Linked DNA regions of Mytilus edulis. The protein of the gene in region 1 purifies or fractionates together with the protein of each later gene. This does not show direct contact. Links are inferred from orthologs where the notes say so. Each region holds a gene or a part of one and is shown on either strand. Other genes may lie near its edges.

Region 1 (11,386 bases):
TAAGCTAATCTATGCTCAGAAAATTTTATCTATAAATTATAATTCATACTTAGGGTTAATTTTTCCAGGTTCACTTCAGAGGAGGGCAAATACCAGAATAAGTAAAATATGAAAAAAACAGGTACAAAATTTTAACAAAATTTCCATCTGGATACTATCTTATGATCATAAAGAAGCTTCTGTCCATGTTTGGTAGAAATCCAGGATAGTTTAAGAAAGTTATTAAAATTTTAAAAACTTTAACCACAGAGTGAATGTAATGTTTCCTGGCAGAAAAACTAAGTCCATTTATAAGTCAAATTCGGAAAACCAGATTTTTTTTTTAAAATTAACTTCTGGATATTATCTTATGATCATAAACAAGCACTGTCTATGTTTGGTAGAAATCCACAATAGTTTAAGAAAATTATTAAAATTTGAAACGACAACAACATGCAGGATTGCTGTCTTGCTTTTTTGATAAAAGTGGAAGGCTCAACAAAAATAACTCTGTATAGGTCTGAATATTGCCTACCTTTCATGGTTCTGTTTACATAGTTTCAAAAAGTTTTGGTATGATATTTTTTACAAATTCTGCCTACATGTCATTGCTGAATGTTGGTTTACTTTCTTTACAAATTATGTTCTGGTATTATATTTTTATACATATAATACACAAGTATATATTTCATGTACAGTTTTACACAAAGGATATTTTAACAACACACCCATGCCATGTATAAACAGCTACTTTGGAACAAGATTCAAATAAATATTTCTTTCCTTTTGTCAGCTCTGTACCGAATATTTCTGCCATTCCATCAAGAAGCTAGAAAATAAAAGTGAAATCAACATTAACTACTGTATCCTAATTAAATAGTTTTCAGATTAACTCCTGTATTAATGGTATTTTTGCATTGAACACTTAAGCTCTCTGCTGTTGTTATAACAATGTAAATTTATCACTAAAGCTCTCTGATGTTGTTATAACAATATTCTGAAGTTTTTAGTTTGATGTCTTTGTTGTCATAATACATTTACCATAAAATCTATCCACTCTTAATACTATAAATTTACCTCTAGAGCTCTAAAGCCTATTACTATGTTCTACCCAGGACACATTTACCTCTAGAGCTCTAAAGCCTATTACTATGTTCTACCCAGGACACATTTTCGAATTCAGTCTTCACGCTGAGTGGCAGCCTAGGCTAGTAAAATTGCTCTTGGGCCTGTAAAAATCATATCTACAGGTCAACAGAGTCTAACTTAAAAATTTCAAAACTTGAGCTTCAGGCCTGTAGATTTAACAATTCATCGTGAAGACTGCGAATTTCATTCATTAATTTTCAACATCAGTCATGAAACCAAGTAACTTGGTATAATTCAAGCGAGCATTTTGATGTAAAACAAAAATTACATTAATAGCTATTGCTTTTCCAAAGAATTTTAATTCTCTGTGTTATAAGCGAGCCATAAATGTACATCTAAAGCCTATGGATTTTGTTGCAATGAATCACCTATAAACCTTTGTTTTATGCAATAAAAATACTTTAAACTGAAGCTACATGTAAACTGTTGTTATTTCAGTATGTCAATCTTTCAAGTTTTTTTTTCTTTTTTTTTCTTTTAATATTCCTTTCCCTAAATCTTCATATATAGATAGAGCTAAATATTGTAGTTATTGCAGAGCTAAATATTGTAGTTATTGCAGGATATTTTATAACTGTTAAAATACCTCTAAAGTAGCTGTAGCTCTGGCTTCTACTTCAAATCTTAGCTCCTGATCTTTCTCTAGCCTATATTCCTCCTGTAATAAATCAAATTATCATCAATACAATGATTGACCTTAAAAATAATGACTGACCTTAAAAACGATGATTGACCTTAAAAACGTAACAATAAAAAAAGATCAGAACTGATTAATTACAGATGTAACATAAACTACACTATTTGTGTCTACCGTATTATAAACAATATAGAGAAAAACATGCATGCCTAGGAACTCCAAGAGGGTGTACCTTCACAAACCCATCAATATATGTACTGATAATAGATTGCTAATTTGATAAATGAATTAGGAAACAACGAGATCAAAATATATCTTTGGTTTGGACATGCTTCATCAGTCAGGAGTACAGTACTACTTGTAAAAGTAATCTTTGTTTACTTGAAGAAGTAAATAATAATATAAATATATATTAAAGTAAATTTTGTTTTGTTCATTTTTTCTTATAATGTTTGAATAATCGCGCGATATGTCTCCCCTTATCATTACTTGTATAAGTTGGTTTTTTTTACAATCCCAAATTTTTCTCATGTAAGAATATATGTCTTCTACAATTTTGATCAGGTTAGCTCAAAATTTTTCATTGGAGTTTGATGTTTCTTCTGATTGATTTCACAGAGAAACTAATTGCGCCAAGATCTTAAAAGAGGGAACAAAGATACCAAAGGGACAGTCAAATTCATAAATCGAAAATAAACTGACAACGCCATGGCTTAAAATGAAAAAGACAAACAGACAAACAATACTGCACATGACACAACATAGAAAACTAAAGAATAAGCAACACGAACCCCACCAAAAACTAAGCATGATCTCAGGTGCTCTGGAAGGGTAAGCAGATCCTGCTCCACATGTGGCACCCGTCGTGTTGCTTATGTGATAACAAATCCGGTAAATAGTCTAATTCGGTAGGTCACATTCATGAAAGGGAAGATGATTGTAGTTACTTTGTAAGGAACATAATTATCCGATATCATTTGTGAAACGGTTATTCAATAACAGTCAACCAACTCGTCATCACGTCCATAAAATTATTGAAGGAATGATTTAAACTTCACCATTTGGAACTCTTGGTTTAATAGCATACGTGTGAGCAGCAACTCTCTATCAAGAAAATCATGATAGGAAATGCAAGCACAGGAATATCGTATCAATTGGGAGATGGGAGATATATACCCCATATGCAAAAACGCTGTTTTTTTGGGCTTGTAAATGAGAACTGTTCTGAAGATAATAGACAAGGGAAATTTTCATTGTCCATGAAATTACACTAAAATGATGAGTAAAGACATGATGGTCACATCTGAAAAGGACAGTCAATTAAAAATTCTATTTGCACATAGAAGTCCTGAGAAATTCAATGAGAAGAAGACAGCCGGAGATACATTTTGTACATGTATGTACATAACATCCCAATAGGTCTCCAGTCACAAACTTTTAGCACCAACAAAGAAAGAGACATACGAGATAACAATGAATATGATAGGAGAATATTTAAAGATTTCAGGGGGATTCCAGGAAACACTAAGCCTTGAAGAATTCCGATACAGTGCCTAAACAATTTAACTAAATTAAACAATGTGACATTACCCAGAGAAACTACAAGTAAGCACAAAGAGACCAGATGTGTCAAAGCTAAATATTGACCGTAGGATCAGGATCACCAGCCTCACTGTGACTGCCACTAGTCAGTTTGCCAACCCTTGATGGGTTTAAACAGGCACTGGCTATCTTCACCATTTTCATAAATTGTAGTTATTGGATTATTAACTGTAAATACTTGGTTTTTTTAACTGTATATCATTATATAGAGGTGACTGTATGGCATGTATGTGTCAGTGTGAATATACTCAAAATGAGTCCTACACTTAATCAGAAGAAACAATTCAACTAATTTATACCCAAAATATAACATATATATGTCGATCATTTAATTGTTACATAAAAACAGCTTCTCATACTGTTATTTTCAAAAACAGGACGTTTCGACTTACCCGAACATCCGCAACCTCAATCGTAACAGCAAAAACAAAATTAAAGTACATGGAGGAAAATACATGGAGGAAGATACACATAGGGCGTAATATGCACCAATGAGAAGAGTTGTGCCATAAGGCCATAAGATTGAGATTTGAGGATCATACATATACAGACTCGTTCTCTTTGTCAGGTAACATTTTTGTCAAAAATTCTAGGCTACAGAAAATTAAACGAACAGAGAAAAAATGTTCCTGTTGAGGCTGTACATACTAAGTCTTTAGTCTTTAGAAGTGTCAACTTGACACTATAATCTCTATCTGTAATTTCGATCACTCTGGTAATTTTATGGCTCTATTGTATTAAAATCATTAGTACATTTGTATTTATGATGTGGCACTACAGAGAAACTAAATAAACTAGTATCTCAATTGTTTGTAAAACAATTGAAAGGTCTTTCCTGTAAAAGTAATGTTTTCTTAATGTTCTTTGTACGACCTTTCGTTTGATATACGACAAGCATACCTTCTGAAACTTTTCGCTTTTTACACTTAATGACCTCATCAGCCTACATTTTTGAGATCGGAAGTATGATATATGTAACACAGGGTAGATGAGATTTCGTTTGATATGCGACAACGCCATGTTCTAAAAAGTTTGATTTTTACACTTAATAACCCTACCCAACTAATTTTTGGAGGTTGGGAATTTGATATTTCAAATGTACACATCATGACCTTTCATTTGATATACAACAACCTTACCGTAAAAGAAGATTTATTTTTTGCACTCAATGACCCCATCCAACCCATTTTTGGGAGACGTCAATTTGAAATTTGAAATGTACGCTTTATATTCTTTCATTTGATATGCGACAACCTTACCATCTGAGAAATTTGAATGTTTGCACTAAATGACCCCACCCGTCCCCCTGGGATGAAAAAGGGGTTTAAAATTTTCATTTTTAAGTAGAGTTTATTAAGACCTTCAATATGATATATCAGATGACCCCATATGACAAAGTGCAAATAATGATGTAATATCAACTATATAAATAGAAGTTATGAAACTTACAAAGTCAATGCAAAGCTTGAAATTTTCAAATTGATTTTTTGGTGTTTTTTTTCCATGGAATATTTTTCGTATTTGGTCAAACATATAACTATGTCAACCTCTTCAATTTCTAAAACATTTTAAGTGCTAAGCTCTGGTTGATTCAGAAATACATGCCTCCGCTCGCAAAACTTCAAACTGCATTATCTCAAAAACGACAATAGATATCTCAAATCTGTTAAATGATAAATGATCTACAGTTGAAGGACAACATTATAGGAAAAGAATTGAAACAATTTGAAAGTTCAACAAGGTCACAATTAATCATCAAATATATGATGCAAAACCAAACTTGAGAACCGGAAGTCGTAGAGACATGGGACTATCACCATTCAACTCAAGACCACTTGACCTTTCAAATATCACAAGGTCAAGGTCATAGTATAATATGAAGGTCAAGGTGAAATTTCATCATGACCTGACATTGACCTCAAATTGAAGGCCTTGAATTACTGATCATCTTTGCTGTTGATAGTAGGTTGATATCTGTTACCTTTAAAAAGATATACACACAATACTATACTTGTAAGACTCATCCCGTTGTAACTTTTGAACAGACGGTCGGACATTTTTGGGCTTATTGTATAAAATGTAGAACTCGTTGTGAAGAACATTTTATACGCTATATGTATGCAGTAAAGTCTTATCGTTTTTCTAATATGTAAGCTTGAGATTGCAGCGTAATTTTTTTTTTGCACTCGGTGACCTTTGACCTTGGATGCATATTAAAGGTCATATGAATTTAAGATTATTGGTGAAGGTTCCAAGTCTCTATGACTTTCGGTTCTCAAAATAGAATTTTTGAAAAATTATTTTTAAATTTTAAAGGGAAATAACTCCTTATAAGGGATGGCAACAAATTAATTGTTTATGTTTATAAACATTTCCATCTGTTCTTATACATGCTGTCATTTTCAATTCAATTCTATCTCTAATACTTTTTGAGAAAAATGCAAATAAAAGAAATTGTTTCAAGGGGATATAACTCTCAAAGGGGATGATGAAATCTTATGCAGCCTCATATGGTAATACATCATGATGAGATCTACCTATTGACCAATTAAAGTTATGATACCTTTTAACTAATTTTGGGGGGACCATGTTGAAAAAAATCAATAAATGGGAGATTACTCCTCAAGGGGAGGGTGAAATCCTACAAAAGTTCATCTGGTAAAAGTTCATGTTGAGGTCTATCGATGGTTCAATTTTGGTATTGATAACTCCAATAGAAGCGGTAGGAGGGCCTGCCAAAAATACAAATCCTTGTTCAAAGGATTCAAAATCAGCTTTGTGATCTTAAGCCATAAAACGTTAAAACAAATATGTGTATATTAAATACCTCTTTCTTTTCTTCGGACATGTTTTATTCCTGTGCCGATGAGCAGCAAAACTTCTGCTAAATTATGTTTCAACAAAATTTGTTTCTCATGGGGGCTGCCATTTTAAAAATTACTCTTTAAACATTTGATTTTTTTATGTTCAGCATTTCTGATTTAAGTTCTTTGTATTTGAATTATACTTAATATTAAATAAAATTTAATTGATACATAATTTCTATCATTAATTATCAATGTTTAACCTTTCAATTCATATATACTCTCTAAATATAGTCAAAATCATTCATGCGTTTTATACGGAATACACTTTACAGAGACGGATAAGCTTCTTGTTTGGAAATAATATTGGCCTACTTTCTGTTCTATTCTTTTCTATTCTGTTCCAAAAGAACAAAACAAAGATTGGTAAGTTGATTAGTATTGAGTAGAATTAACTAGAGAAAAAGGCAAGCATGTATATTTATCGAAAGCTATGAACGAAAAAAAATGAAATAGAAAAGATGTTTTTTTGCACAGAATTTCAGAAATTATAAATGATTATAGACAGACTAAAGAATCTTATTTGTATATAGTGGCTATAGTATTTTTACCTGATAAATATTGAATATTGTACAATGTATTCTTTATGATGTACATGTATATGAGACAAAATTATAGTTACCTGTACCATTATAAACTTGTACCAATGTCAACTCATACCACTAAAAAAAACTTGTACTAATGCAAACTTGTACCACTGCTAACTTGTACCACTGTAAATTCATACCATTGTAAACTTGTACCAACTTATATAATTATTGAAATGCATTGAACATTTTGAAATGGTGTTTAATGATGAATATACAGTGGAGTAGTCCCCGGTGTCTGCGCGGCCCGTGATATCGCGCATTAGCTTATTTTGTCATATCAACACAGTATCACAAACACAATCGTTCTTGTTATTGTTTTAGCCATCTGAAGGGATAAAAAAGAATAAAATTGATAAGTTCAAGAGTTAATTAATAACTGCAATCCCGTAATTTGCCATATTTGGCCAATTTCCGTTAAAAAAAAATACATCATCAGATAAAATTTGTTTTATTTAAGTCAAACTTATATCAGATTGAAATGATTTTTGCTCTGCATCCTTGGCAGTGTTTTTGGTTCAAACTCAGCTATATTTCGTAGTATAAAATCTTTTCTTTTTTTAAAATAAGCTATTTTTGGAAGGCATGCGCGAAATCACCGGACATTGGAGGAACTCTCAGAACAGGGTTTCCCTAATTTTGGACACATATTACACAAAATCTTGAGGGTGAAACCATACAAACAGAAGATTTTATGAAATAAAAGTATGTTATGAATGTGTTCACATAATATTATTCATTTATTGGTTTTATCAGTTGAATGAAGTGAAGTCATAAGTCTTAGGTGAGCGGATACACCGGACTGCACCGTATACTTTAATTTCACTCAATACCTCTTAAGTCTGTAAAATGTATAATATGAGGCAGGCATTACCTGTGAAAGGGAACGAAGTCTATGATTTTATTTTAATTCAAACATATCTTAATTTCGAAACGGAAATACCGTAATGTTTCCGATTTTGGTTCTCTTGTTAGGGATTTTAGTTGTGCCGTTATTTAAGTTATGACGTCATATGCAATTTTAACAAAGAAACGCTATCATTAGGTAACGTTTTTTCATATCAAGGAATTATTAAAAAAATGAAATTGATATTGCGTTCCTTCCTATTTTATACTAAACTGATAAATATATATATTTTACTCAAAATTTCATGCAAACAAGACCGGAAAAAGGAAGAACATTGTAGATTTCTGCGCAGATGCAGGAATTCAAAACATGACATAAAAAAAATTGAACTATTTTGAGTTCATTAGTACAATGAAAATATCGGGAAAATTTTTCCGTTTTTTTTTTTTATTGAATTTTCTACTGTTATTGGGGACTTTGTCCCCATATAATTTGAAATTACGTTGACCCATGTGTAGCTTATTTTCCATGTCTAACTAATTCCCATAATTGACCCTGTTATTATAGATCGCTTTTTTTAGTTGTCTCTTTTATGAGGTACATTAATTTGTATTTACAATGGAGAGCTACAATGTAGCAGAAAGAGCAAATTAACCTGATCGTAAATTCGTAATGTGAGTAATCGTTCACACAATGACAAGATCAAGTTAGAATTTGTTCCGTTACAATGATTTTTGTCGAGCCTTCGACTTTAGAAGAAAAAGCGAGACAGCGATCCTACATTCCATCGGTGTCATCGACGGCGTCCACAAATATTCACTCTGTGGTTAAAGTTTTTGAAATTTTAATAACTTTCTTGAAATATCCTACATTGTAGATTTCTACCAAACTTGGACAGAAGCTTGTTTATGTTCATAAGATAGTATCCAGGAGTAAATTTTGTAAAAATAAAATTCCATTTTTTCCATATTTTACATTTTTTTACTTATAAATGGACTTAGTTTTTCTGCTCGGAACCATTACATGTACATGCAATCTGTGGTTAAAGTTTTTAAAATTTTAATAACTTTCTTAAACTATCCTGGAATTGTACGAAACTTGGCCAGAAGCTTGTTTTTCTTCTAGTTAACATTACATACAGTCTGCAGTTAAAGTTGTTAAAACATTTTTAAGTTTCTTAAACTAGCCTGGAATTTTACCGAACTTGAACAGAAGCTTCTGACAATCAAAAGATAGTATCGAGAGGAATAATTTTGTTGATTTTTTTCTTCATTTTTGTTGAGTGTGTGATTAACAGCAAAAGTAGACAGGACAATGGGTTCCGCGGAACCCTTATAAATTTTTTAACCAGATTGGGACTATTTAATACCATGCAATACTCACAATATGCTTGTTTTTGGGGGAAAGACGGCTTCAAGCCGTCAATCCCATATGGGGTTGACCAGAGTGACATTCCCTCACATCATTCATTTTGTTTTTATAGTGTGATTACCCCCAAAAAATCTTACTGAGCTTGATGAGAAGGAAACACACAAATGAAAAGATTGACTTTAAATACTTTTCTACATATTTCCCTTCTGTTTCTAGCGAAATTATCGTATTTTGAGCTCTCTTTTACACTATTTACGTTTCTTTTACAATCCGGAAAAATCAGTGACGAGATATTCTAAATATATCCAACCTACATTATATTTTATAATGACGTCATTGTTGGAATGCCACACTATGAAGAAGCAGGGATATTCTTCACTGGTTATTTAAATCATTCTCAGAGTTCGTGCACTAATTGTAAATTATTTGTTAAATTTAAACATAATTATGTTTGCTGTAGATGATTCAAACATCAACATGCAATACTTTAATTTGTAGGTCAACAACTTTCAGAGTAAACAAGGGTCGTGGAGATACATGTACATGAGATCGGGGAGAGAAACAATTTTTTTCATTTTTTCTGTAAAATTCTGTTCTGTGAATCTTCCTCCAAATCAGGAGCACCTCAATTGATGAGTAATTATCCACTAAAATAAAACTTGAAAATGTGACATTTAGTATATGATTAGTAGTCTTCCATTAAAACTAAATTGTGTGTACCAACAAATAAATCATTGTAATGGTAAAAAATGTTTCTTTTAAAAAGTTGCATTTTATAGTTTAAACCTATAATAATTTATTCATGAAATTTACAAATATTTCAAAATGTAGGATCTGGAAACAAGCTTCACACATTTTACATCAATCATATTATTTTTTATTAGTACCTGTACCCCTGTGATGAGAGTTGTAACTGGGAACTTTATCAATGGAAATTTGAAATTAAATAGATTTTTCAGTCCTAACTTTCTTAAGAAAAAAATTAAAAATCTTAGAGTACTGTCACAAAAAATGGAAAATTCAGTTCAGTGGTACACAATTAAGATTTCAGAAAACATTGTAGTTGTTGTTAAATGACAGAAATCAGTTGAATTTTACATAATTAACTATCAACTTTAATCGAATGTTTAGATTTAGAAGATGCAGATCTCTTGGTCCAAATTGAATCATACTAAGGAAACAAAATTAAATTAAACAACAATTGACTTCAATATTGTCAACCTTTCTACATGTTCTAGCTGTTCTCTTTTTTCATTCTTTATATATGAAGACTATCAAAAGATACCCCCCCCCAAAAAAAAAAAGAAGAGACAAGGGCCATCTTTCCCCTCAGAGCTATTCAGCTCTTTGATTTCTGAAGTGCTGCCCAAAAATATATTGATATAGTTAATTCCTGAATTATGTGTGTTGCAGAATTTTCGGTTTCAAATTTTGATCCAATTTAAATACAGTAATTCTGTGAAGATTATATGTGACAGAGGACAAACAACATATCAGTAGCTATTTAAAATAAGCTTTTTCTCACTGAAATAAAAATTTATGAAATAGATCTGGATGTTTAATTTTACTAATAAGGCCTCTTTATAAATAATGTTTTGAGTGTATAAACAAGTCTGAAGAATTGTTAAAAAAAGAACTATCACCAACTGTTATGGTCTGGACCTTTAGCCAAAACCCCTATGCCCAAGTCTAGTAAAAATTTGATAAAATTTGTATGTAGGAAAAATCTTAAAAATACAGATTTAGCAAGTAGCTGATATTTTTTTTTTGCATAGACTGATCAACATACATTTTTTAAAACAAATCACCTTGTGCTATGTGACCCTACAATAAAACAAGTATGCTACATTCATGAAAGTTTTAATTTTTTTGTAATCTAGGAAAAGTACAAAATGTACCACCCTGACCTTTATGACCTTTATTTTATGCTTCAACTATAAATCATTTTATTAAGCATCTCATTCTGATTTCATTCCTTAAATTTCCTATTTAATAAAGTTATTTAATTTGTTTCACCAACAAACTGGTAGATGACTTGCTTAGTTCAGGTCTAACTCATCAATTTCGGTTAAATTAATAGACTGCAGTGATAAGTTCAGTCAAAGTTATTAAGACCGGTTCAACATATTTTAGGTTACAAAGCTGCAATATGCAATTTTATAAGAAGCTGAGCAGAATGATACAGACAGTGAGAGGACCAATAATAATCTCTATGTCTGTCTCGCACAGTTTTCAAGCCAGCTCTCTGAAATTAAATTTCACTGCAAGATTGCACATATGTTGAAGTTGTGCATCTGCTATTATGGAATTGTTTGAGGATTTTTTTTTCTCAATTTCCTGACATAGGATT
Region 2 (11,398 bases), on another chromosome or scaffold:
AGTTCCTTTAAACTGAGTGACCCTCATTTCATATTCCCCTATATTATTTACCACTTCCTCAATTTGTTCCATCGGTGTAGAGGGTTTCTTTTTTAGCGTACTAGTTCCATTGCCATTACCAGACTGGGCAGCAGTTTCAGGAGACTGACGACTGCTGTTAGGTGTTTCACTCCTTTGTGACTGGCTTGGTGGTGTAGGTGTCACCCTTTGTTCCTGTGGTTTTTGTTGTTGCTGTTGTGGATGATGCGGCTGCTGCGGCATGTGCGTTTGTTGATGCGGTGGTGGCTGTCGAGGCACAAATGTTTCATGGGCAATTGGTATCTCTCGTAACTTTGGCTCTTGTGATATAGTCTCTGGTTGAGGAGTTGTTTGTGGTAAACTTGTTCCCTGCTGAGAAGGCAGAGGACCAGTCTGAGTATTGGTTGACTGAGGTTGGGAGGAAGCATGTGGATAAGCTGTTTGAGGAGTGGTCTGTGGATAACTGGATTGAGGAGATGCTGCTGTCCATGTAGTGTCGGGATAGCTTCCTTGTGTACTATTTGGATATCCACCACTTTGTGTACTACTTGAATATGCACTGCTCTGTGAGTTATTTGGATATCCAGCTTGAGCACTGGCTTGTGCCATAGCATGTGGTGGATATCCACCTTGGGAGGAGGAATTAGATGAAGCCTGCACATAAGCAGGTTGTTGTGATGTGAATGGAGGTGGTGGCTGTTGTGGATAGCTAACCGGTTGTCCTGGCCCTCCACCTGGCTGTTGACCAGTATAAATGGTATATCCATAAGGTCCAGTGTGCTGAGCTGTACTCTGCTGTTGTGGTGGTGGCTGGGGCTGACTAGGCTGATTTGAGGACAAATGCTGAATTGGAATTTCTCTTACTACTGGAGATGAACTCCTCCCAGACATTGGAGAACCTGTTCTAAAAGACCTTGGTAGGGTTGATGAATATGTGTTTGGTGACGGCATGTCCATTTGTCTTGGCAATGTTCCAAAGCCTTGCTGAGAAGGATATGAAGGCTGGCCATTTGATCTAAATTTTCCATTTGAAGACTCGTGCATAACTGGTATTTCTCTGACAAAGTATTGTCCTGGGGTAGCAGTTGCTCTGTATGTCTGTAATGAAAAAAAGAATGAGGTATAAGCATTGCTTCAGTCTTATGTCAGAATAAAGAACCAACACAATTAAAACCTTTCAGGTTTCTCACTAAGGCGAGTCCATGAGACCTAGAATCATGAAAATCTGTCTGGACTCATCATTTTCAAAACTGATGAGTCCAAAGATGCATCAAGATTGTAAATTTTGTATAAACTGAACGCACATATCATCATTTAATAGCAAAAGTTTAAAAGAAATCTAAATTTAATGTCATTTCATTGTTCTATTTGGTCATGGAGACTAAAATGATAAATCATATTGCATTAACATGATTAAAATATCTTTTTCTTACTGCTGGACTCATCATGGCCAAAAATGATGAGTCAATTGACTCGCCTTTAAAAATCATTAGTGAGAACCCTGCGGGCTTTCTATAGCATTGCCCCAGTCTTGTATTAGAATGAGGAATAAACATGATAAACCCTATAGCAGTACAATGTTCTCCAAATGGCCTTAAAGCACCTTAGTACCCTTACTTACCATGTGTCATGTCTAGCTTATGAGTTATGCCCCCATCCTGAGGGATCTTAGTTATAAATGCTACATTGTATAGACCATTTTAAAGGACATACACATGTAACAATCACAGTGTTCTCCCCAAAAATTTTGGATAGCATCACATTTTGCGTAAAAAAAATTACTCTATTTTAATGTCATTTGTCGTGTCGCGTTGATGCTCTATTTCCTTTATATGTTTTAGCTTATATTGTTCAATTCATAACTGAGAATACAATTAAACTATAACCACAAAAACAGTTGTTTCAGTTTATGTTTTCTTTATTCATTTATAGTTACAGAATTACTTTTTTCCTTTTGTGCCAAACAAAAATAAATATGTGGTTTCAGTTACCCAACAATACAACAATAAGTCAAATGAATGAATGGTTCATTATAGTGCAACCTGTATATAATATACAAAACTCAATATCTAGTACACAAAATTAACTATTTTTTATATTATATTAATTAAAGATAAAGTAGCAAAAAAAATCAATTTAAAAACTTTTTTATCATGTTTATGAAATTCATTGTTTAAAGGCACTCAATGAATTAGTCCCAGTTGTTTCTTATCTTTACATCAAAATGTATTTTTAACAAAGTTATCTAACAAATAGTCTGTTAATGCGTAGTTTTCTCTCTTGGTATATTTTTTCTGTCTACTGTCCATCTGTTGTCATTATCGTGAAAATGCGGATTTTTGTCATATCTGGTACGGTTCCTATCCGTAGTTTACACAAAAATGTGCAATGGCGGCCGTAGAAAATTTACGAAAAATGAGTCCGAGAATAAACATTGTTTGACAAGAGATTGTGAATGAATAAGACGCTTTTAATGCATTGAATGGATTTAACATAAACTTAAGCCAATTATGATAACTTGTTACAGAAGTATTAAACTTATTTTAGCTCTAAACCAAAATTCTCGCTCTCGTATTACCGGAAGAGAAAAAAAGTTATTTTTGGAGAGTTGCACAAATAAACGATCTTTAAAAAAATCAAAAAAATCGTTTCAATCTTTGAAATTTCGTAATACAAAACATAGATTTCGAATTGTTTTGTGATTGCATTTTTCCATGTCGAAATTGGTGACACTTGGTTTAGTCACAAGTGTCAGCTTGGGATATTCACATCCAAACAGTTATCACCCTGAGGGCAATTAACACCTAGCTATTTAATCTCTTAATTGCCTTTAGTGTCCGACTTAAAGGGATTACAATTAAAGGTGATATAATTTTTATGATCATAATCGATGATAGATGAAAGTTCAAAATTGAGGACAAGTAAAATAGCATCTTCAAAATAATTATAGCGTCGCGGGAATTATTATAGCATCACGGTGAAAAAATATTGCGTCGGCTAAAACGGCCTGGGGAGAACACTGAGTCAATCTCTACCTCTGTTTCCATGGCTCATGTAGATAATCTGTCACTTGGACAAACCTATAATAGTACATTAAATTTAAACTATGATTTTGATTTTGTATTTACATTGTGTCATCTGGATTTAATAAATTTCTTTGTTCAGTGTATGTTCACTTGTCTTGCATTTATAAGTTAAGCCATTTCAACTGATATTCTATACATGTAGTACATGTTTTTCTATTTCAGGAAAGGGTGAAGGTTGGTTCCTATTAAAACCTTTATTACCCTCCTGCTGCCATTTGATTTTCAAGGTTGCATTTTGTGTGCTAAAAAATATGACAGCTCAACGTCTTTGACTTAAGATGTCCAACAATATGCAATAATATCTGTAACACTTGGGACCCATTGATGAAACATACATTTTTTTATAACCATGTTTGATCTTTAGATTTTCATTTGAAAAACATACATCACTGTGGAGAAGCTTGCATGAATAAAAACATGGACATATGTGTCCCTCCGGCACAGTCGGTGTGGACAGTGACATGTGTCCCTCCAGCGGCAAGAGGGTTAAACCCATTGCATTTGTTTGCACCTGTCATATGTCAGGAACCATGGTTAACTTTTACAAGTTGTGACTAGGATATGGAGAGTTGTCTCATTAGTACTCATAGCACATCTTCTTATATCTACATGTACATTTGTACCATGAACCACAGACTTGTTTAGGTCTATTTGTGTTGATGAAAAAACTTAATTTCACTTGGTGGCCAAACTACACCACCTATGACAGCAAAAACCTGTCTGAGAGTTCACAAGGACTTGAGCTATCTATATTTAATTGTCTAATTGAACATCCTTACTAAACACAGATATTTTACCTCATTAAGTGTGGTTCCAGGTGGTTGCATTGTAAGGTTAATTAACATTATCTCCGATTTTTTAGACTCTCATTCATATTTTTCTTTAGAAGACAAAGCATTGTCTTTCAATGTTGTCATTATTTGATTTAGATGCATGACCTCTAAATAAATATGCGTGGGTCTTGAAGTTAACCAATTTTGATCACTTATCGACTTGTAGGAGTCGATATTTGCCACTTTTTGATTCTGGTCAATTATTTCTTGCTTAACAATATTTGACTTATTAAAGTCGTATTTTGTCTTGCATTAAAGGGAGACAAATCCTAATTTAAAACTTGCAAATTTAGACCTCTATGAGTTAAAAGCAGATTCAGACTTATTTATAAATGTCTGAGCTCTGACTGGTATATATGGATTCTATTTATTATGGAAAGGCAAGCTGTAAATCCAATATGAGAACATTGGTTAAATCCATGAACATGATCTTGACAGCTTATGCCCCTTTAAACATATTAAAGTTGTATCAGTGTATTGCAAATATTTTCAGTGTAGGATTTGTGCAGTGTGACTGTCTGTTGGTTAGTATGATGTCACAAACATGACAAAGGATAAGCAATGACCTCAAAAATTTTAAGTGTCATATACTGCATTATACTATCTGAAATATCAGATTGAGTGTTGCAAATTCATCACAAAGGCCATGCATGAGGTGTTGTAATGGGAGTACCTTCATGACGAAAAACGGTAAAATTCTTGCCAAATGACGTTAACGGTAATTTTATATGTATGACATAAAATGTACACTTTCTTTTAGACGATTAAACATCACGTTCTTTTATTTCCAAAATTGACAGCAACAATTATTGTTTGAGACCTCTGACGAATCACCATAAGGATATTTTGACGAATTACAGTAAATTTTAACCAATTTGAAAAGTAATGGAAGCCGAAAAATGACTGGTTGACGCCTGACGTTAAAAGGCGTTATTACCCTCATGCATGCACCAGTTGTGAATCATCTTTATTCAGATGGAAGACTGGAAACCTTAGTGAAGAAGACCCCCATATACATTTAAAGTAATAAAAATTTAACAACCCCACCCCCTGAGACACTCTTTTGAACACAATTCCGTGAATTTAGATTGTGGTGTTATAATGTACGAGTTCCTGCTTTTATCACTTCATAAGGCATTACAAATATATATATATTTATATTAATATGCTGATTTTACGTAGTAAAGACTTCAAATATAAGTGTAAACATACCAATCTCGGATCTTCCCAGCTTGTATTCTGTGTGTTGTGGTCGACGTAATATGGCCATCCTGTCCGTGTATCGGTCAGCATTTCCCATCCGGGAGGTAGATCCATCATTCTACTGTTTTGATATTGGTTATTGTACATTTTTCGAATTTACAAGCCTTATATAGCCAGTTTCTTAACTTATTCTCGACTTGGCTTCAATGATCTAGAACAATCGACTAGGGCGACACCTAGAACATTCCGGAAATTTAACTCGGATTTTTAGTATCACTAACTATAATAAGTCTAGAGAAATGCTAATGTTAAGGGGGAACAACTCATTCGTGTAAACATGACCTGGAGGCGGGGTTCCAATTGGGTTGAGCTTATTTATAAAACAATAATTAATAATTGAGTACATACACACAGGCGGGCTTGGTGCAGAAAAAACATTTTTATAAAATTTTTAAATAAAATGCGGTATGAGCCAACATTACTTTCATTTTCAATATTTCAAACTTTTGTGTCAAGGAAATTCTTATGTATACATACATATGTTATATTTAGGCTAGCTCAGGCTATTACTAATTAAATGATATAAATGAGTGATCCAACTCGGTATAAAAAAGACATGACTCATGTACTTTAACTTAAACAGCGAACATTGACTTCATTTCATATATTAATGAGACAGCAACCCCGAAATAAAACGAATGTTAAAATGTTGTTACTGAACTTAAACTATACATGCTATAAGTTACATGTGTTATACTGTAACGTGACAAGATGAAATCATAAATATTATTTTTATTATACAGAATTTATAAGTGACAGCGCATGGCATTATTAAAGCTATACATGACTTAAAACGCGAAAAAAGTCATGGTCCAGATGGTTTGTTAAACGAATTTTTCATCGAGTTTAAGGACCTTGTGCTGCCTTATATATGTACCATTTTCAATGCCGTTTTGAGCTCTGGATATCTTCTGTCCACTTGGTCTGATGCTATTCTAGTGCCAGTATTTAAATCTGGGGATGCGAACCACCCAGCAAATTACCGTGGTATAAGTCTAATGTCAGCAATCTAGGTAAACTATTCACTATTATTTTGAATAGTAGCTAAAATGGGCATCAATGAACGATATTTTATCTGATGCACAATTTGGTTTCCGTACTGGTTACAGTACAGTAGATGCTGTGTTTTGTTTATATTCTGTCATACAAAATTCTTTTTGTAAAGGTAATAGATTAAATTGTTGCCTTGTTCACTTTTTAAAATCGTTTGATACAGTTGATCGTCTATGTTTGTGGTACAAGATTTCTAAATAAGGAATCAGAGGAAAATTGCTTAATATTTTAAAATCAATGTATAACAATGTAAGATCTATGTATTATATTTGATGGATTTAATTCAAAATACTTTTCTAATAATCTTGGCTTAATGCAAGGGGAAGTTCTTTCCCCTATTTTATTTTCATTTTATGTCAATTACTTTGAGAATGAATTTATTAATAATGGTAACTGTGGACTTGAATTTCAGGACATAACACTTTTTTTTTTTATTGATGTATGCTGATGATATGATTTTGATGTCAGAATCAATCCAAGGCTTACAAAATAATGATATACATAAAAAGTTTATCAAGAAATATTATTGAACTAGACCGTCAACTTATAAATTAGTACAATTGCTTTCTGTTGAAAACACTAAGGAACTCTGTAATTTAGGAAAGTACTTACTCTAGTATGCATTTAAGTGCAGGAATAATATTTAAGGTGGTACCTAACACTACAGGGAGATAACTCTGTAAAATCTGCTAAATGTTTTAATAACGTTGTGTTGTTAAGGGAATATTAAGCTTCTCAATGATCAAAATTAGTGTTTGTCAAACTGCTATATAACCAGTGTAATTTTTCTGATAAAACGATTGGTTGAAATATTTTGAAATTTTGATATTTTTGTCAGAGGGTCAAAGTAAATACTTTGTTAAAATTTTATGAAAATTAAACGAGCCAACTTAATTTTAGTGGAAGTGTTGGGTACCACCTTAAGACCTATGTTTATTATATGTAGTCTGAAACTCACAAAATGTATAATATGTAACTGATATTTCTGACGTTTTTTATTTATGTGTATGTTAACGCTATACAACTTGTAAACTGTGTATTTAAGCATATTATACTGATAAACTGTATTGTTTAAAGTAAATAAAGAATAATGTTTGAATACTTAGTAAATGAGAATTTAGGTTTTCATAATTTGGACTATAAACGAACAGTATACTATACATGTAATAGTACCAGGAAAATATTAAGTTCAACGTTATTAAATTTAAATCATGAATTATGGTATAAAAGAATATTTGAGTACGCGGGAACATTGTTGTGTGATGCGGTCCTGCGACTTTAATATCGGCATTTGGACTGAGGAAAAAGAACTGCAAATAAGACTCTTTTTTAAAGCAAGTTTGAATAGGCAATGTTTCATGACGAGAGTTTCTGTATCCACTTGTTTATATTTTTTTTAAATGTATATTATAACTTAAATTTATATGATCAGAAGCTTAAATTTTCATAATAACTTAAATTTATATTATAATTTAAATGTATATCATAACTTATCATATACTTAGACTAAATAACATACGATTTTTACTGTATGATAATAGCATTAAGTTAACGCAACTTCCATATTTTTCGAATTAGTGCTTAGCGGGCTGATATGAAAAGTTTATCACATGCTTCGATTGTTATCACATGCCTTTCCGTAACGTTATCGCGTGGCATTCCGGTGATATTCGGCAAATTCCGGAAATTACACCTCAATGCTACGTTTTCAGTGAAAAACATTGATTTACAAAGTAGTGCACAAAACAATATTTGAATACTTGAAAGTATATTGTGTAAAATAATTACAACAAAAAATTAAAAAAAAATCCCAACAAACAAATTACTATATAAATGCATTTTTTAAAAGTTTCAAACATAATTTAGAAAGTTACTTGAAGAAAAGCTGACTTTTCCAAACAGTGTTCATTATTTATATTGTTGAATTGTTTTTTGTTTGTTTGTTGATTCGTCCATTCAAAATATTTTTCTTCTTCTTGAGGCATATGATAGAAAGATTTCATATCGAAAGTATGAAATTTGGAGTCCGACGTCCGTGAACTTTTCACTCTTTGAACTTCTATTTGGGAACCACGTAAAAGAATGAATATATGATTCTAGCTGTTATTTTTCTCCATTGTTGAAGCATATGATAAAAAGATCATAACATGTCATTTTGGATGAATATGTGTTTGGTGACGGCATGTCCATTTGTCTTGGTCTGATATTGAACTAGGGCCGATAATACATGCGATATGTAAAATGACATGTAATAATCTGATATCATACCACGATTTGATTCATTGAATAAACAATATTGTTGTAAATAAAACCAGATGCTCCGCAGGGCGCAGCTTTATACGACCGCAGAGGTTGAACCCTGAACAGTTGGGGCAAGTATGGACACAACATTCAAGCTGGATTCAGCTCTAAATTTGGATTGTGATTAAATAGTTGACACAGCATAGGTTTCTGACACAGAATGAATGTGGTCTAATGAACTTAAAATATTTTTTTTACCTTTGAACAATTCACTATGCTGTTGAATATTAATCCTCTCAAAAAAATGTTTGAAGAAATTTTCTTTTTATTTATGAAATCTGAAATGAGAAAAATTTAACCCCCCCCCCCCAATTTTTTCACACCCCAATTATTCAATTTTTGATGAAATCAAACAAAGTTTAATTTTGGACCCCGATTTGGACTAACTTGAAAACTGGGCCAATAATAAAAAATCTAAGTACATTTTTAGATTCAGCATATCAAAGAACCCCAAGGATTCAATTTTTGTTAAAATCAAACTAAGTTTAATTTTGGACCCTTTGGACCTTAATGTAGACCAATTTGAAAACGGGACCAAAAAATAAGAATCTACATACACAGTTAGATTCGGCATATCAAAGAACCCCAATTATTCAATTTTTGATGAAATCAAACAAAGTTCAATTTTGGACCCTTTGGGCCCCTTATTCCTAAACTTTTGGGACCAAAAACTCCCAAAATCAAACCCAACCTTCCTTTTATGGTCATAAACCTTGTGTTTAAATTTCATAGTTTACTTATACTAAAGTTATGGTGCAAAAACCAAGAATAATGCTTATTTGGGCCCCTTTTTGGCCCCTAATTCCTAAACTGTTGGGACCTCAACTCCCAAAATCAATCCCAACCTTCCTATTATGATTATAAACCTTGTGTTTAAATTTCATTGATTTCTATTTACATATACTAAAGTTATTGTGCGAAAACCAAGAATAATGCTTATTTTGGCCCTTTTTGGCCCCTAATTCCTAAAATGTAAGGACTAAAACTCCAAAATCAATCCCAACCTTCCTTTTGTTGTCATAAACCTTGTGTTAAAATTTCATAGATTTCTATTCACTTTTATTAAAGTTAGAGTGCGAAAACTAAAAGTATTCGGGCGCCGACGACGACGCCAACGTGATACCAATATACGACCAAATTTTTTTTAATTTTTGCGGTCGTATAAAAATCTTGGACATACTATAATCATATAATAGTCCCAGTTGCGTTTAACCTGGGTCATAACATATTGACTGCCAAGTTCAATACTACTTAAAAACTAGTTATACCTTTGTCTAAAAGTTATGACATTCAAACACAAAGTTTACAGGTAAAACGTCATCATATTTTTCAGTATAAATGACAGATATGATGCCAGAAAAGGCCGTTTGGAGAGGTTGTCTAAAATCCTTGCACACCCTAAAAGACAAATTATCATTCTAGAAACGCGACGTGAACTGCGTGCATATTTAAAATAATTTCTACACTAATACTAGGTGTAAAAAGAATTCCACAATCTGATCACAACAGATGCCGATCCAGGATTTTTTAAACGGGCTTGAAGAGCCCCAAACTAGGCATCGTTAGGAGTAGAACAAGTAAAACATGTAAAAAGTCTATGATTAAAAAAGGTATACCCCTCTTAGATCCGTCTCTTGTGGTGCTTTTACGATGGAAACGTTTCTTCATACGGAATTTAAATAAAGTAATTACAGTGGAAAATATTTCCTAAAAATTTACAAAAATTAACAAAAATTTATAAAAATTGTTAACAATTGACTATAAAGGGCAATAACTCCTTAAGGGGTCAATTGACAATTTTGGTCATGTTGACTTATTTGTAGATCTTATTTTGCTAAACATTATTGCTGTTTACAGTTTATCTCTATCGATAATAATATTCAAGATAATAACCAAAATCTGCAAAATTTCCTTAAAATTACTAATTCGGGGGCAGCAACCCAACAACAGGTTGTCCGATTTGTCTGAAAATTTCAGGGCAGATAGATCCTGACCTGATAAGCAATTTTACCCCCATGTCAGATTTGCTCTAAATGCTTTGGTTTCAGAGATATAAGCCAAAATCTACATTTCACCTCTATGTTCTATTTTTAGCCATGGTGGCCATCTTGGTTGGTTGGCCGGGTCACGCCACACATTTTTTAAACTAGATACCCTAATAATGCATATTGTGGCCAAGTTTGGTTAAATTTGGATCAGTAGTTTCAGAGGAGAAGATTTTTGTAAAAGATTACAAAAATTTACGAAAAATTTGTCAAAATTGACTAGAAAGGGCAATAACTCCTTAAGAGGTCAACTGATAATTTTGGTCATGTTGATTTATTTGTAGATCTTACTTTGCTGAACATTATTGCTGTTTACAGTTTATCTCTTTCTATAATAATATTCAAGATAATAACCAAAATCTCCAAATTTCCTTCAAATTACTTATTTCGGGGCAGCAACGCAACAACCGGTTGTCCGATTCATTTGAAAGTTTCAGGGCAGATAGCTTTTCACTTGATGAACAATTCCCCCCCCCCCCCCCCCCCCATGTCAGATTTGCTCTAAATGCTTTGGTTTCAGAGATATAAGCCAAAATCTACATTTCACCACTATGTTCTATTTTTAGCCATGGTGGCTATCTTGGTTGGTTGGCCGGGTCACGCCATACATTTTTTAAACTAGATACCCCAAAGGGGATTGTGGCCAAGTTTGGATTAATTTGGCCAAGTAGTTTCAGAGGAGAAGATTTTTGTAATAGATTACTAAGATTTACGAAAAATGGTTAAAAAATTGACTATAAAGGGCAATAACTCCTAAAGGGGTCAACTGACCATTTCGGTCATGTTGACTTATTTGTAA

Evidence for each region. The genes of interacting proteins can lie anywhere in the genome.
Region 2: the proteins of dnaJ homolog subfamily B member 6-like (region 1) and BAG family molecular chaperone regulator 3-like purify together in Homo sapiens (co-immunoprecipitation; 3 studies listed by BioGRID and IntAct, with this or other methods). This does not show direct contact. The link is inferred for Mytilus edulis from reciprocal best matches to the Homo sapiens genes DNAJB6 and BAG3.

What each region holds. Positions count from the first base shown.
Region 1 is NC_092345.1:102,189,235-102,200,620, reverse strand, and holds the start of dnaJ homolog subfamily B member 6-like, read left to right. Parts: upstream 1-6,473; 5' UTR 6,474-6,597; intron 6,598-11,386. Other genes in the region: polyribonucleotide 5'-hydroxyl-kinase Clp1-like, read right to left, coding at 695-808, 1,715-1,786, 6,195-6,215. UniProt on the Homo sapiens protein: Has a stimulatory effect on the ATPase activity of HSP70 in a dose-dependent and time-dependent manner and hence acts as a co-chaperone of HSP70. Plays an indispensable role in the organization of KRT8/KRT18 filaments.
Region 2 is NC_092355.1:71,846,845-71,858,242, reverse strand, and holds the start of BAG family molecular chaperone regulator 3-like, read right to left. Parts: upstream 5,385-11,398; 5' UTR 5,288-5,384; coding exon 5,150-5,287; intron 1,117-5,149; coding exon 1-1,116. UniProt on the Homo sapiens protein: Co-chaperone and adapter protein that connects different classes of molecular chaperones including heat shock proteins 70 (HSP70s), e.g. HSPA1A/HSP70 or HSPA8/HSC70, and small heat shock proteins (sHSPs), e.g. HSPB8.